3 linked regions of the Nothobranchius furzeri genome follow. The protein of the gene in region 2 purifies or fractionates together with the protein of the main gene of each other region. This does not show direct contact. Links are inferred from orthologs where the notes say so. Each region holds a gene or a part of one and is shown on either strand. Other genes may lie near its edges. The genes, in order: sike1, strip2 and serine/threonine-protein phosphatase 2A catalytic subunit beta isoform.

The links.
Region 1: the proteins of strip2 (region 2) and sike1 purify together in Homo sapiens (affinity purification with mass spectrometry; 3 studies listed by BioGRID and IntAct, with this or other methods). This does not show direct contact. The link is inferred for Nothobranchius furzeri from reciprocal best matches to the Homo sapiens genes STRIP2 and SIKE1.
Region 3: the proteins of strip2 (region 2) and serine/threonine-protein phosphatase 2A catalytic subunit beta isoform purify together in Homo sapiens (affinity purification with mass spectrometry; 3 studies listed by BioGRID and IntAct, counting the BioPlex papers as one, with this or other methods). This does not show direct contact. The link is inferred for Nothobranchius furzeri from reciprocal best matches to the Homo sapiens genes STRIP2 and PPP2CB.

What each region holds. Positions count from the first base shown.
Region 1 is NC_091755.1:53,138,447-53,142,669, forward strand, and holds sike1 (suppressor of IKBKE 1), read left to right. Parts: upstream 1-1,295; 5' UTR 1,296-1,440; coding exon 1,441-1,599; intron 1,600-1,897; coding exon 1,898-2,003; intron 2,004-2,085; coding exon 2,086-2,228; intron 2,229-2,323; coding exon 2,324-2,437; intron 2,438-2,834; coding exon 2,835-2,957; 3' UTR 2,958-3,788; downstream 3,789-4,223. Other genes in the region: micos10 (MICOS complex subunit MIC10), read left to right, coding at 4,156-4,219.
Region 2 is NC_091741.1:53,343,837-53,347,485, reverse strand, and holds part of strip2 (striatin-interacting protein 1 homolog), read left to right. Parts: intron 1-248; coding exon 249-320; intron 321-417; coding exon 418-492; intron 493-2,118; coding exon 2,119-2,216; intron 2,217-2,450; coding exon 2,451-2,577; intron 2,578-3,649. UniProt on the Homo sapiens protein: Plays a role in the regulation of cell morphology and cytoskeletal organization. Required in the control of cell shape. Calmodulin-binding scaffolding protein which is the center of the striatin-interacting phosphatase and kinase (STRIPAK) complexes.
Region 3 is NC_091750.1:36,847,469-36,851,862, reverse strand, and holds the start of serine/threonine-protein phosphatase 2A catalytic subunit beta isoform, read right to left. Parts: upstream 2,823-4,394; 5' UTR 2,533-2,822; coding exon 2,431-2,532; intron 1,327-2,430; coding exon 1,288-1,326; intron 1-1,287.

The sequences.
Region 1 (4,223 bases), on a different chromosome or scaffold from region 2:
ACGTATTCTTCATTTGATTTTAATAAATGGTATATTGATACTTTCGAAAAAATATAAACAAAGATGCTTTCTTTCAAGAGAAGTACGTCGTATAAATTGTTTTTTGTAATTATTTGGAAAACTTAAGAATAAACGTAAAGGTCCAGTTTAAGGTGTATCGTTAAGAAGTAGGTTGGCACATTTGCGACATCATCCAGCTGAAACAAATGCAAAAACCAAAATGGGAATTAGATCAAAACCAATTTTAAATCCGAAATTTGTCAGACGGCTAATCAAGTCCGATACAACACACATGCGCTAAAACGTGTTTGATTTCCTAACAGATCGAGGGTAAACGAAGAAAACACCGCGGCTAACGGCACGAGGATGATGGAAAACAAAGAAACTACCTACAAAGCTCGCGTCTACAAAAGTTGTGCACCAACTAGAAACGTCTTAAGTGTTAGAATGGCCAAAGTAGCATGTCTTCGGTACTTTAGACACGTCAAAGAAACGCCAGCTTGCTATTTAACCGTCGCTCGGTCGTTTGGAACGTTAGCTCGTTAGCCAGAGCACGCTGCTGTGGCCCGAGAAAAAACAAGGCATCCCCACCCAGGCCCGACTTCTGCTGTACACCGCCCGTTCGCTTTGGTGACCCCGCCTGAATTATAAAAAAATTAAATGCGAAATAAGACATTTAAATATATCTCAACGGTTTACCAAGCAGAGAAAAATAATATAAAACTCACCCCAACAGCTTTTAGCACTGTCACCAGCGCCGCTAGAAGCAGCACGGCACATTACGTAGTGATTAGGGAGACAGCTCCCGCGATATTTGACGAAGGCTAGGGAAGCCTCTGCAGCTGGCTCTGTTGTCACGCATGGGTTCATGGGAAATGATGTTCAGTTGTTTTGAAGTAAATAATCGGGCTCAACCTGGGCTCAACCGAGGTTTAAAAGGCATTAAATGCTTAATATGCAGTAAAGTATGCTATTAAATGTTAAAACGGCTTTTCCCACAGGTCTGCGCACCAGACACTCATGAAGATAGTTGGATAATGAAATTATTCAGAAAATGTCTATGCACACGGTTTCCTTGCCGAGAATGAGAAAACCAAAGGATTCGTAAACATTTTTACGTCTACGATGATACGTTTGACGGCAAGATACTTGTTTACGGTACAATCCCGGAAGTGACGCTATATTTTTTCCTCTCGAATACGAAGTTGCCAACAAAAAGAGGGATTTCTTTTGTTATACATTGTCCTGGTTTAATTAGTCATCTGTCTCTTGAGAAATGATCTAGGAGGGTCCGCTGAGATATGAATATTTGTTTGTAAAACATTTTTGTGCGTTTGAACAGCATAGCCAGCGTAAGCTACAGTACGGGCAAATTTTCGCCTGATCAAACTGGTATTTGGAAGCTTTAGTTTACAAATACGACTAGTCACTTAATAGCTAATGGCCTGTACTTTTGAAAAAGTGTTGGGGGATGCTAGGACCCTCCTGGAAAGGCTGAAAGAGCACGATACGGCTGCTGAGGGACTGATCGAGCAATCCGGGGCCCTCAGCCAGAGAGTGCAGGGCATGAGGGAGGTGGGCAATGCTCTTCCAGACAAGGTAAGATGGTCTCTCACACATAAACGTTGGGTGAAAGTATATTTATATTAGAAGGCTGACTTAAGCCATGCATTAAGGATTTGGGGTTGCAGGTAAGCTTAAAATGACACTCTTCTCTAACTCTACTCAAGTACTTAGACATTTTGAGATAGAAGGTCTGATCGTCCAAAAAAGTACACCAGCCTTTAAAAGCATATTTAAATAATGGGAATTATTTATCAAGAGGTGGAACAGTCATCCAACTAGTGCTTAAAATGTATTTTTTACTTATGACATTTTCCTTGTTGCTGCCTTTTAGCACACAGAAGACAGCTCAGAGATTCGGGAACTCACAAAATACAAGCCTCACATCCTTCTGACTCAAGAAAACACTCAAATCAAGGAATTGCAGCAAGAGAATAAAGGTAAAATCCTTACAATGTTTTTAGGTATTTTTAGAGTTCATGTGTTTGTCTGTAATTTTTGTCTTCGCCACTGTTTCCGCAGAACTATGGCTGTCCCTTGAAGAGCACCAGTACACACTAGAACTGATCATGGGTCGATATCGCAAGCAGATGCTCCAGCTGATGATGGCAAAAAAGGAGCTGGACACGAAACCAGTGCTCAGACTACACCAAGACTACGTCAAAGTACACCAACTTTCATTGTGCTGTGAACATTCCCAGTCATGTAATTTTCTGACAGAAAAAGGGGTTTGAAGTTATGCTTTCTGAATCTTATCCAGGAAGTGCAAAGCCAGGTGGAACGGATATGTGAGATGGGCCAAGTGATGAGGAGAGCCATGCAGGTGGACGATCAGCACTTCTGCTCTGTTCAAGAGAGGCTTGCTCAACTGGAGGTAAGGACTGGAATGGCAGTCGTGATGTCAGGAGTTATCATTAAGCTTTTAAAAGGCAAAATCAGTGACTCTAAGGCTTTGAAACAGCTCAGGAAATTAGCATGAGTCTACAAACACACACAAGGCTTAGTGCTGCTAGCATAAAAACTGTTGGAGTTTCTCAGGTTTTCTTGTTTGCTAGTTTCCTGGAGCGTATGGTGCAGCATTAGATTATGAATGAAAATATCTGGACACACCTGAGATCAACTTAGAAACTCTTTGAGATGACTTTCTTGACTCATTCTGGTTAAAATGTTGATTCAATAAACCAAACTCGCATAGATACAACCATCTTGCATGGACTGGTGATAACGAGTAATCTACACGAGGTTACGTTTGGTTATCCGGGCTCTTTCAGATTGAGAACAAGGAGCTTCGGGACCTTCTGGCCATCAGCCAGGCATCTGTGAAGATGGGAAATGAAGAGAGCCACCAGCCATCAACACCAGCAGCAGCAGTGCCCTCAGGCAGTGACCAATGAGTGACCCGAGCAGCTGCAGTCTGAACTGATCAGGTGGAACAACCAACCAAACAGGAAGAGCTTTTTCTTTTTTAAGCACAACCTAGATTGCAGAATAATGTTTGTAAAAGTAATTTAAATTCAACATTAAAGCCATCAGAAGCATTTAACTACCAGTGGGTATATCATTATGATAGATATCTTTATGTACAGTAGTTGTGTTTTCACTGCAGCAATGTTGGGAGTGAATTCCTCATAAACGAACGGAGTTTGACTGAGGTGCTTTGGGTATCACTGGTTTATTTTATATTTATCTAAATGCTGAAGTGAAGCTGAGGGAGATTTATTTTTGTTTAGAATGGAGAAAGGATGAGTTTAATCTTTTAAGAACATAAAAAAGTAAAATGCCCAAAAAGTAAAATGCCTCTGTTTTAAACGCTAACTTGTACACCACGTGTGATGTTGTGTTCATCGCCAAGAAAATGACTATTGGCTGTTTCACAAAACAAAATGCCTGCGCTGGAATGACAGTGGGCAGTTTTTTAAAGAGATTGTAAATTTATAAATGTACATTTTGTCTGCCATAGTTGATTGTTATGCTTACAACATGATAAATACCAGTTTTTACTCTGAATTTTTAGATTGGATTGCAGAGTAAATGTGTAATAGTTGACTGCACATCTTTCTCACGGTAACATTTTGTAAGCATTACTTTTTTGAGTGTTATGTACTTGTGCACTGTTATTTTGTCATGAACTGTAAATGTCATCTCAGGAAATTACTGTTGGTTAAGTGAACATGTTTATGGAAGTGTAATTATTTGTGTAAAATAAAACTCGTTCTGAAAACTAAGTCATATTACCTTATGGTGAAGTTTTTGTTGATAAAACACAAAAACCTTATTTTTTAATTCAGGGTTTCACCGCTAGGTGGTGATTTTAAGCTCTTCTGATTGTGACAATGAGACGTTTGGAAAAACATCGCTCCAATAACATTTAAGTGGGAAAAAGCACCAAAAAACGTTAATTTATTTCAAGGCTTCAAAGTATTTTTATCATTGTCGATTATTTGATAAGATTTCATAAATGACGTGGTGAAATAATGGGAACTGCACCGCAATTTTCTTGTTATTCTAAATTTGATTTTCACAACTTGAATATTTTCCGGGTGACCTAAACGCAGCACCAGAGTCACATACCTGGAGCGAAGCTAAGTCAGGATGTCTGAGAAGGAGCTCGGTAAAAAGTGGGACCGGTGCCTCGCAGACGGTGTCATTAAACTTGGTAA
Region 2 (3,649 bases):
GGATGGATGGATTATTAAAAGATTAATATTCTTTTGTTTCATTTGCTTTTCTGTATTATGGATTAAGTGTCTGCTAATCAATACTCACACGCTGTTGAATCCTCTCCTAATGGCACCCCTCCATTATAAATCCATACCTCCCAGAGTGAGAAGTGTGCAAAGAAATGCCCCTCTGGGTGTCAGCGAGCTGCGGTAATTATCCATTGCTGTAAATCTCTTGTTTACGGCAACATTTCTATCATTTCCAGCACAAGTATGTGTCTATAGCTGAAGTCCAGATCAAGAAAGAAGAGGAGCTGCAGCAGTGTCCGCTGAGCCTGGTGAGCTCCCGCTTTTACTTTTTGGCTTTATTTAAATAAACTCCAGCGTTTCTCTAATTGAGGCTGCGGGTGCTAAATGGAGGTGCTGTGCTGACAGGGTGAGGAGGAGGTGGAGGAGACGCCTGCTGAGATCTTATACGTGGGAATGCTTCCAAACCTCTCACAGTATGTGGTGAGTGGATCTTTTTCTACTTCCTCATTAGCGAGAGGCTCTTCTGAAAAATCTGACCTTTGTCACACGAGGATACCTCAGACAAAACAAAATAATTAGCAACAAATGTCTCAAAGAGGCACCAGAAAACCCGACCTTGGAGTCGGCACGGTCCTGCGTGCTGCTCTGTCCAGTCATTATACAGATTTAGTTAGGGATGTAAGAAAATATTGCAATATTTTCTGTTACAATACTGGGTTAATATTTAAAAGCAGTGTATCAACATATGTATTGAGAATTTACAATCAAACATTTAGTGTATTTCTTTTGTCTGGTGCAATTCAAACCCTGACTGCTAGGGGGCAGCAGATTTTACCGTCTTCATTCTGATGATCTCTCAGTGAAACTGGACGTGTCTTACAGGCTTCTAGCCACAGTTTTCTGAATAAATTCAGTCTTAAAAACCGCTTTTATCATCTGGATTTTATTATCGCAAAGTATTGTATTATCTCCTCTGTACTGTGACGTTTATGGTAAAGCCGGATTCTTGTTAATGCAAACCCCTTTGAAAGTGCATTCCTCTGTGGATTATGAGAAATTTTTTAAATCATTATCTTTTCATTTTATGTACATCGTTGCATCATCAGCACCATGAAGCAGCCCTAGAATTTCATTGTGCTAATGAGGTGACATTGTGCAATGACAAAGAAAGCTTCCTATTATATTCCATTCTTTAAAAGGCCTTTTGATTCTTTGCTGCACCAGATTTGTTGTCTCCCCCTGAAATCATCTGTTGTTTATTTGCATTATTATTCTCCTCCACCGGTGAAACGTCCTTGAGCCACTGATTGCTACAGAAACACAAATCATGGTTTATTGAAAACCCATTTTATAAAGATTAATTCTAATTATTTTTCATGCAGGCTGAACATGAAAATAGTCTCCTACACCATTCTCCTGCATTCATCAGCTTCTGATAGAAAATGGTGAAAAGCCTGACAGATCTACGTCACAGTTACTTAACATTTATGGACGTTCCCATTTTGACTCGCGACAGGGAAGGCTGTTGCTGTTTTAGCATCCAAGAATCAACAGAGAATGCCTCAACTAGTAGAAGCTAACCGTTAGCATGATCAACTTCACCACACAGCAGAACTCCTCCCGGCTTGTGTTAATCGTGGAGATAAAACCAACGTTGCAAGTCGATGATGGTCGTGTTGCTTTTATTCAATCCTGAGCGAGATGTCCAAATATCAGGAAATAAGAGCTCAAAGCCTGCTGTCTGAAGCTCAGCTGTGATGTGAGTCACTTCTAGTGTCTGGAAAGGGTGCGCCGATTTGACCCCCCCCCCCCCCCCCCCCCCCCAGTACGGGTTACAAGGCATTCATTCCTACTAGAGACCACTGAAATGAATTTATTAAACGAGCGTCCCACACTTTTAAAGAAGTGAACTTTGGGGCATCTTTTTATTGCACGTACCTTGCAACATGGAATTAATTTAATGTCTGCTATAGCTCTTTCTAGTACTTTCTTCCTGTGCAGGTATTAGTTGTTAGTGCTAAGCTGTGAAGGCGCCTGTACAGGTGGACATCTGTATGTACTCATTTGTTTTTTTTTAACTAAGCTTCCCTTTCTTTCTTTTGCCAGATTGCTCTCCTGAAGCTCCTGCTAGCTGCAGCTCCAACCTCCAAAGCTAAAACCGACTCCATCAACATTCTGGCGGATGTGCTGCCTGAGGAGATGCCGTGAGTGATCAAGCCCTTCTCAGCTGTTTTTGTCTTTTGTCATTATTATGTCCTCCATGTCAACATAGAGCAGCTTTCCCCTTGTTGATCGACACTTGAGCTGGTGAGAAAGTGTAAAAACACAGATGAGAGAATCAGCTTGTTTTACAAGCAGGTTGTGGGTGTGTGTTGGTTGTTGAGTCTGTTCCTGACCAAACAGTTGCAGGATAACTGTTGGATGTGTGTGTCCTCCAGGATCACCGTTCTCCAGAGCATGAAGCTGGGGATCGACGTAAACCGTCACAAAGAAATCATCGTCAAGGCCATCTCTGCTCTGCTGTTGCTGCTCCTCAAGCATTTGAAACTCAGCCACATCTATCAGGTAACACCCAGCTCAGGGTATTATCATTGCCTTCACTTCTGAGTTATTGTGATTCCTCTGAGTTTTACCTTCCAGGTCCTTTCAAAGATTGTATGTCTTCTCCTGAATCACGGGAACAAGATTACATTTGGAATTCTTGGTGCTAAAATCAACGTTGGTCCCTTTGCTATTGGGAGGGGGACACCGATGCAGATATTTGCTGTTGCTATGGAAGAAACATGCTTCACACTCCTGCAGCTTTCTGTTGTGTAGAGCTGTGATAATGGCTCCACCTGCTGACCAAAACTGGAGTTGCACCCACAAACAACTGCTACTTTTTCACATTTTAAAGTTATTTTCTTGAGCCAGTGTGTGCTAAAATGGCCCTTTACAGAGGTAATGAAAGGACACCTAGACCCTATCCAGAATATTCCACTTGCCACTTCAGACTGGCGGGCCGCTTTGTTGGGGCTTGGAAAAAATAGAGCTTACCCCCAAATTCCACTACCTCCGCTCCGCTCCGACACGAACGCCGGAGCAAAATCGGTCCCGTTGTAGTCAATCAGAGCAATTCCACTACTGCGGCCGTGCTCCGGCAGTGCGGCGCCGTGCACCGCCCTCTGTTCCGGCGTCCGGCAAAAATAGAATCGATCCTATTTTTGCCGGACGCCGGAGCACCTCCGCAGTCAATGGACAGAAATCACCACCGCCCAACAGGAAAATGAGCAAGCAGAACTTCCGTTTTTCACAATAAATCGATAAACAAAAGGCGTTTTTTGTTTCATATGCACAGGTTTAACAACTTTTAACAACTATCAATGGCGGCTGAACTTTAAATGCACAAAAGTAAGCCATAAATACAGTTTCCACTATCAAAGTAGTCACACTTTGTTGATCCAAACACTGCTGATCTCTACACAAATGATGGGCAGATTAAACAGTTCATGTCATGCTTCTCCCACACAACGGGTGTTTGGATCTAACTTCCGCGTTTATTGCTCGGACTGTATCGCAAGATCTTGAAAATCCCGCGCATGCCTGTTTGCCCACCTCAGGTCTCCGCACCGGAGCGGAGCCGTTGTAGAGCGCGTAC
Region 3 (4,394 bases), on a different chromosome or scaffold from region 2:
TTACTGTGTGGGCGTCGGACGAGCCCCCGCACCGTGAGAACAAACATCTCAGCTCTAAAGCCGATCTTCATCCGCATACGTCACGTGATCAGGAAGCAGAACATCCACGTGTTAGGAGATCGTTTTGGGCCGCTGCTGTAAAAAAAGTGAGGCGTGAACCGGAAAAGCTTCTGACGATCACAATTCAACAACGTATTATTAAAGAACGGATAACGCTCGAAACACGCGGATTCTTCCTGATGTAAGAGGTGAGTCTCCGCTTTGTTTTGGTTGTTTTGGTGTCGACATCATCCTAGCGTGCAACATTCTGTCACTCTATAAAAAAAAGGAGTAAAAATGCTGGAAGTGAAGGGCTTTTCTGATCAGGAAATGGTTGGCAGTTAATGAATAAAAAAAAGTTAGTTTTTACCTTTTAGTCCAAATCAAAAGTAAACTTTTTTAAGTTAGCTTTTTTCATTTCTATGATATTTTTGTCACTTTTTTATTTATTTGCTTTTGATTATTTTTGTTCCTGAATTAAGTTTATATTTATCGCAAGTAATACCGTCATTGCAATATTAATCACCGTTATTGCATATCACAGGTTTTCCTAATATCGTGCAGCCCTAGAACATACAAATTTAAAGAGGCAGAACAAAAAACAATCCTGGTGACGCCGCCGTGTTGCTGTTGCAGCGCAGGAGGGTTGTGGACTTGAGTCTGGTTGTTTTTTTTTGGCAGCAGCAGATGAAATCGGTTCATGTTTCGGCTCACAGACCAACACCAGGAACGACGCTGCGCTTTATTAAATTGCTGTTTTGTCATATTTAGCAACACAAATCTTATCTGAAATGTTACATTAACTCCTGCCATAAATGGTGTGTGAGAGAGCAGCTTCCTTTAGTCACACGGCGTGCGGAGCTGTTCGGCTCATTATTAGGGCCAATTTATCAAGACAATACTGAAGTTTCACAACAAAAAATACATATTTATTCCGTACCAGTTCCTACTAAATATTTGGTCGGTACTAAAGAGGAACTGAGTTTGGGAAGCCAGCCCCTCTGGTTTGTTCTACTAAAAGTTTGAACATACAACCCAGAGACTCTGGTGTGACTGGAACACACAAGATGATAAAATAACACAAACTGACCCTGACCGTTTTAGAAACAAACGGAATAATCTCTTCAAATGGATTTCCATTTCCTCATAGATAACCCCCCCCCAACAGGAACAAAAACTGCAAATTAACTCGGATGTATGCAGTATTGAAGAAGGCGACTTATTAGGATTTTTTTGGGCCAAACTCACCTCTTGAACGTTGGACTCCTTAGTCAGAATCTCCTTTGCCTGAAAAGAACACAAAAATTTATTAAACTGGTCACATTTGTGTGTTTTTATTTACATAACCAAAAGTTTAAAAAGGACAGAATTATTGCATCATGGGTGAAAACATGCTGGAAGCCAGGCAAGACCCCAGTTCCTGTAGAATAACAAACAGGATGTATGGTGAAACCTGGTTTTTTGTTGTTGTTTATGTGCAAAAACATCAGAATAAAGAGCCTCTCTGCAGTGGTTCAGTTTTTGATTCTTTATATTTGGTAAGCTCACAATAATAACAAAATAATACAGGAAAAAAAGCTTTAATTATGAAAAGGAAACATAATTAAAGGCATCAAAATCGATTGATAGTTTAACTCTTTAGTTCAAAGTGTTGCTCAGCAAAACGACATAAATATACACAAAAGCTGTTTATTTACTTTAGTAATAAATAAAAATCATCTTTTGCAGCTCCATAAGTTTCCACGTTTATCTGGCCTGTTGAATCCTCAGCTGGTTCCTGATTTCAGCTGAAAAACCGCTAAAGTCACTCAATTATAATAATGTATGTTTAAAAAAATAACACGATGCAAAAAGTCATAAGAACTAATTTATTATGCGACAGCAAAAATGCGGACGCGTCTAATAACTGGGAGGTAGGATGGGTTTATGCAATAAACGATAAATCAATACAGACAGGGTGCGGTGCGAAACCCCGCACGTACGCAAACAAACCAATTCTAAAGACGCTGACTTAATACTGATTTTAACATAATATTTCGCATGGAACAAACCGAGGGAAACCACGTCAAATAAAAAAACGGGTGGATGGTAACGAGGGCTGCATCTATTTACTAGACATTTAAGGTGCGATTTTCGGCCTGTTGGTGCTCAAACTACGACTGTTGGTTAACCGTCATCACTGATAAAACTAGCCTCTGATCTTCAAACACCAAAAACAATACGAATAATTTCTCATTTCTAGTACTAATAAACAGGGATGACCTGCGGCTGACGGGTCAATAGGGAGATAAAAACCAAAATACACGTTACTTCCTTTCCAGAAATTAGTCGGGGCCGCTGAGAACCAGGCCGCTTATAAATTGAGGTCAGCGGAATCAAATGAGCGCTTACCTTCTCACAGAGGGTCCTCACTTGGTTTTCCGTTAGCTGCTTGCACTCGTTGAGCTGTTCGATCCATTGGTCTAATTCTTTAGTAAAAGATTTATCTTCCATTTCAGCTGTAATAAAAAACGGCGTCCGGTCCCTACGCGAACTGATTCAGCCTTTAGCTTGTCGTATTGTTAACCCGATCCAGTCCGGTTGAAAAATATTCGATTAGTCCTAAAAATAACGACCCTTTCAGACAACTTCTCTCATGATAAACCACCAATGTTAAGTTACCGACATTAAAACCAGTTTAAATGAGCCAGTGGAGTCGAAATCTTCGAAAGTCTCCGCTGCGGCAGATCGAAGCGGCGTCGCAGAGGCTAAAAGAGCTAGCTGCAACAACATCCGGGCACTTCAGCAGCGCGCAGACTCGGAACACCAGCGACACCACGCGGGGAAGTAACGAACTACAACAAGTTCATCGTCTTTTCCGGGATGCTGATCCTAGACCAGGGCTTGCTGCTCTAGGTACACATTATGTGGTTTATTTGTAACTCACTCACTCACTCACTCACTCACTCACTCACTCACTCATCTTTACCCACTTCAGTCACCAGGGGACAGACAGAGGACATCTGGACATGCCTCCAGTCCATCACAGGGACACATAAAGGCAAACAACCAGTCACACATTCAATTACATCTAGGGACAGTTTATTGTCTCCAGTTAACAGACCTTCTTTACACCTCCACTGGCACCCCACAAGGCTGTGTGTTGTCTCCTCTACTCTTCATTCTCCATACAGATGACTGTAGATCCATCCAGCCTGACAGTTATATGGTAAAATACGCTGATGACACTGTGCTCCTGTCGCTTCTGTCAGGCCCTACTGTTTAGCACGGGCAGGTCCTGCAGGAGTTTGTGGATTGGTGTGACACAGCAGGCCTGGAGCTGAATGTGACCAAAACTAAGGAGATGGTGTCCTTCTCAAACAAACAGAGAGCGCTGGTTACCGCTGCCTCCACTATCATTCATGGACAGCCAGTGGAGCTGGTTGAAGAGTATACATATCTAGGGACCACCTTTGATCACCTCCTGAAATTCGCTTCCAACACTGAGGACATCCTCAGAAAATGCCAGCAACGACTCTACCTCCTGAGGAAGTTGAATTCATTTGGAGACAGGAAGGACATTTTACTGACTTTCTATTATTCTTTTATAGAGAGTGTTATCACATTTTCCATCCCCTGTTGGTTTTATTCTGTCAGCCTGCAGTATAGAAACCGTCTACAAAGCACCGTCAAGGTGTGCTCTCAGATCATTGGACTACCACTGCAAAACTTAACTTCTCAATGTGACCAGCATACAGGAAGTTAGCATAGAAAATAATTAAAGACCCATTACACCCTCTTCATACTGTTTTCGAGTGGCTGCCCTCCAAACGCCAACTTCGATGTCCATGCTGTAAAACACAGAGGAGGAGTTCCTTTGTTCCCAGAGCTGTGCTTCTTCTTAATTCTTAGTGCCGATAGGAGTGTGCATAACTTGTATGTGTGCGTGCATATAGTTACATGTATGCATGTGTATTTGTGTGTGCATGTGTGTGTGTGTATGTGTGTGTGTGTGTGAGCCAAAGGTTTACATGAATTGTCTCAAATTGCCCCTCGGGGACTAATAAAGTTGTCTTGAGTCTTGAGTTTTTGGTCAGTGGGAGGCAATCCATGTATGCATGGGCAACACATTATGGGAACACACAGGCTGCAGACAGAATGAGAAACTGCAACTTTTTTTTGCCACAAAATAACATAAAATAATTCCATATATTTTAAACCACAATAAAAACATGTTTTTGTGTCCACTGTCTGTGACTGAAATTCATTAATCAAACTATACCCGGCAAACAGGGTGACTGTGAGAGGAAATGTTGCAGTTATACAGATTGTGTTTTCTGAATTTCAGTCCGGTTTCCTACATTGTTTGATTAAAC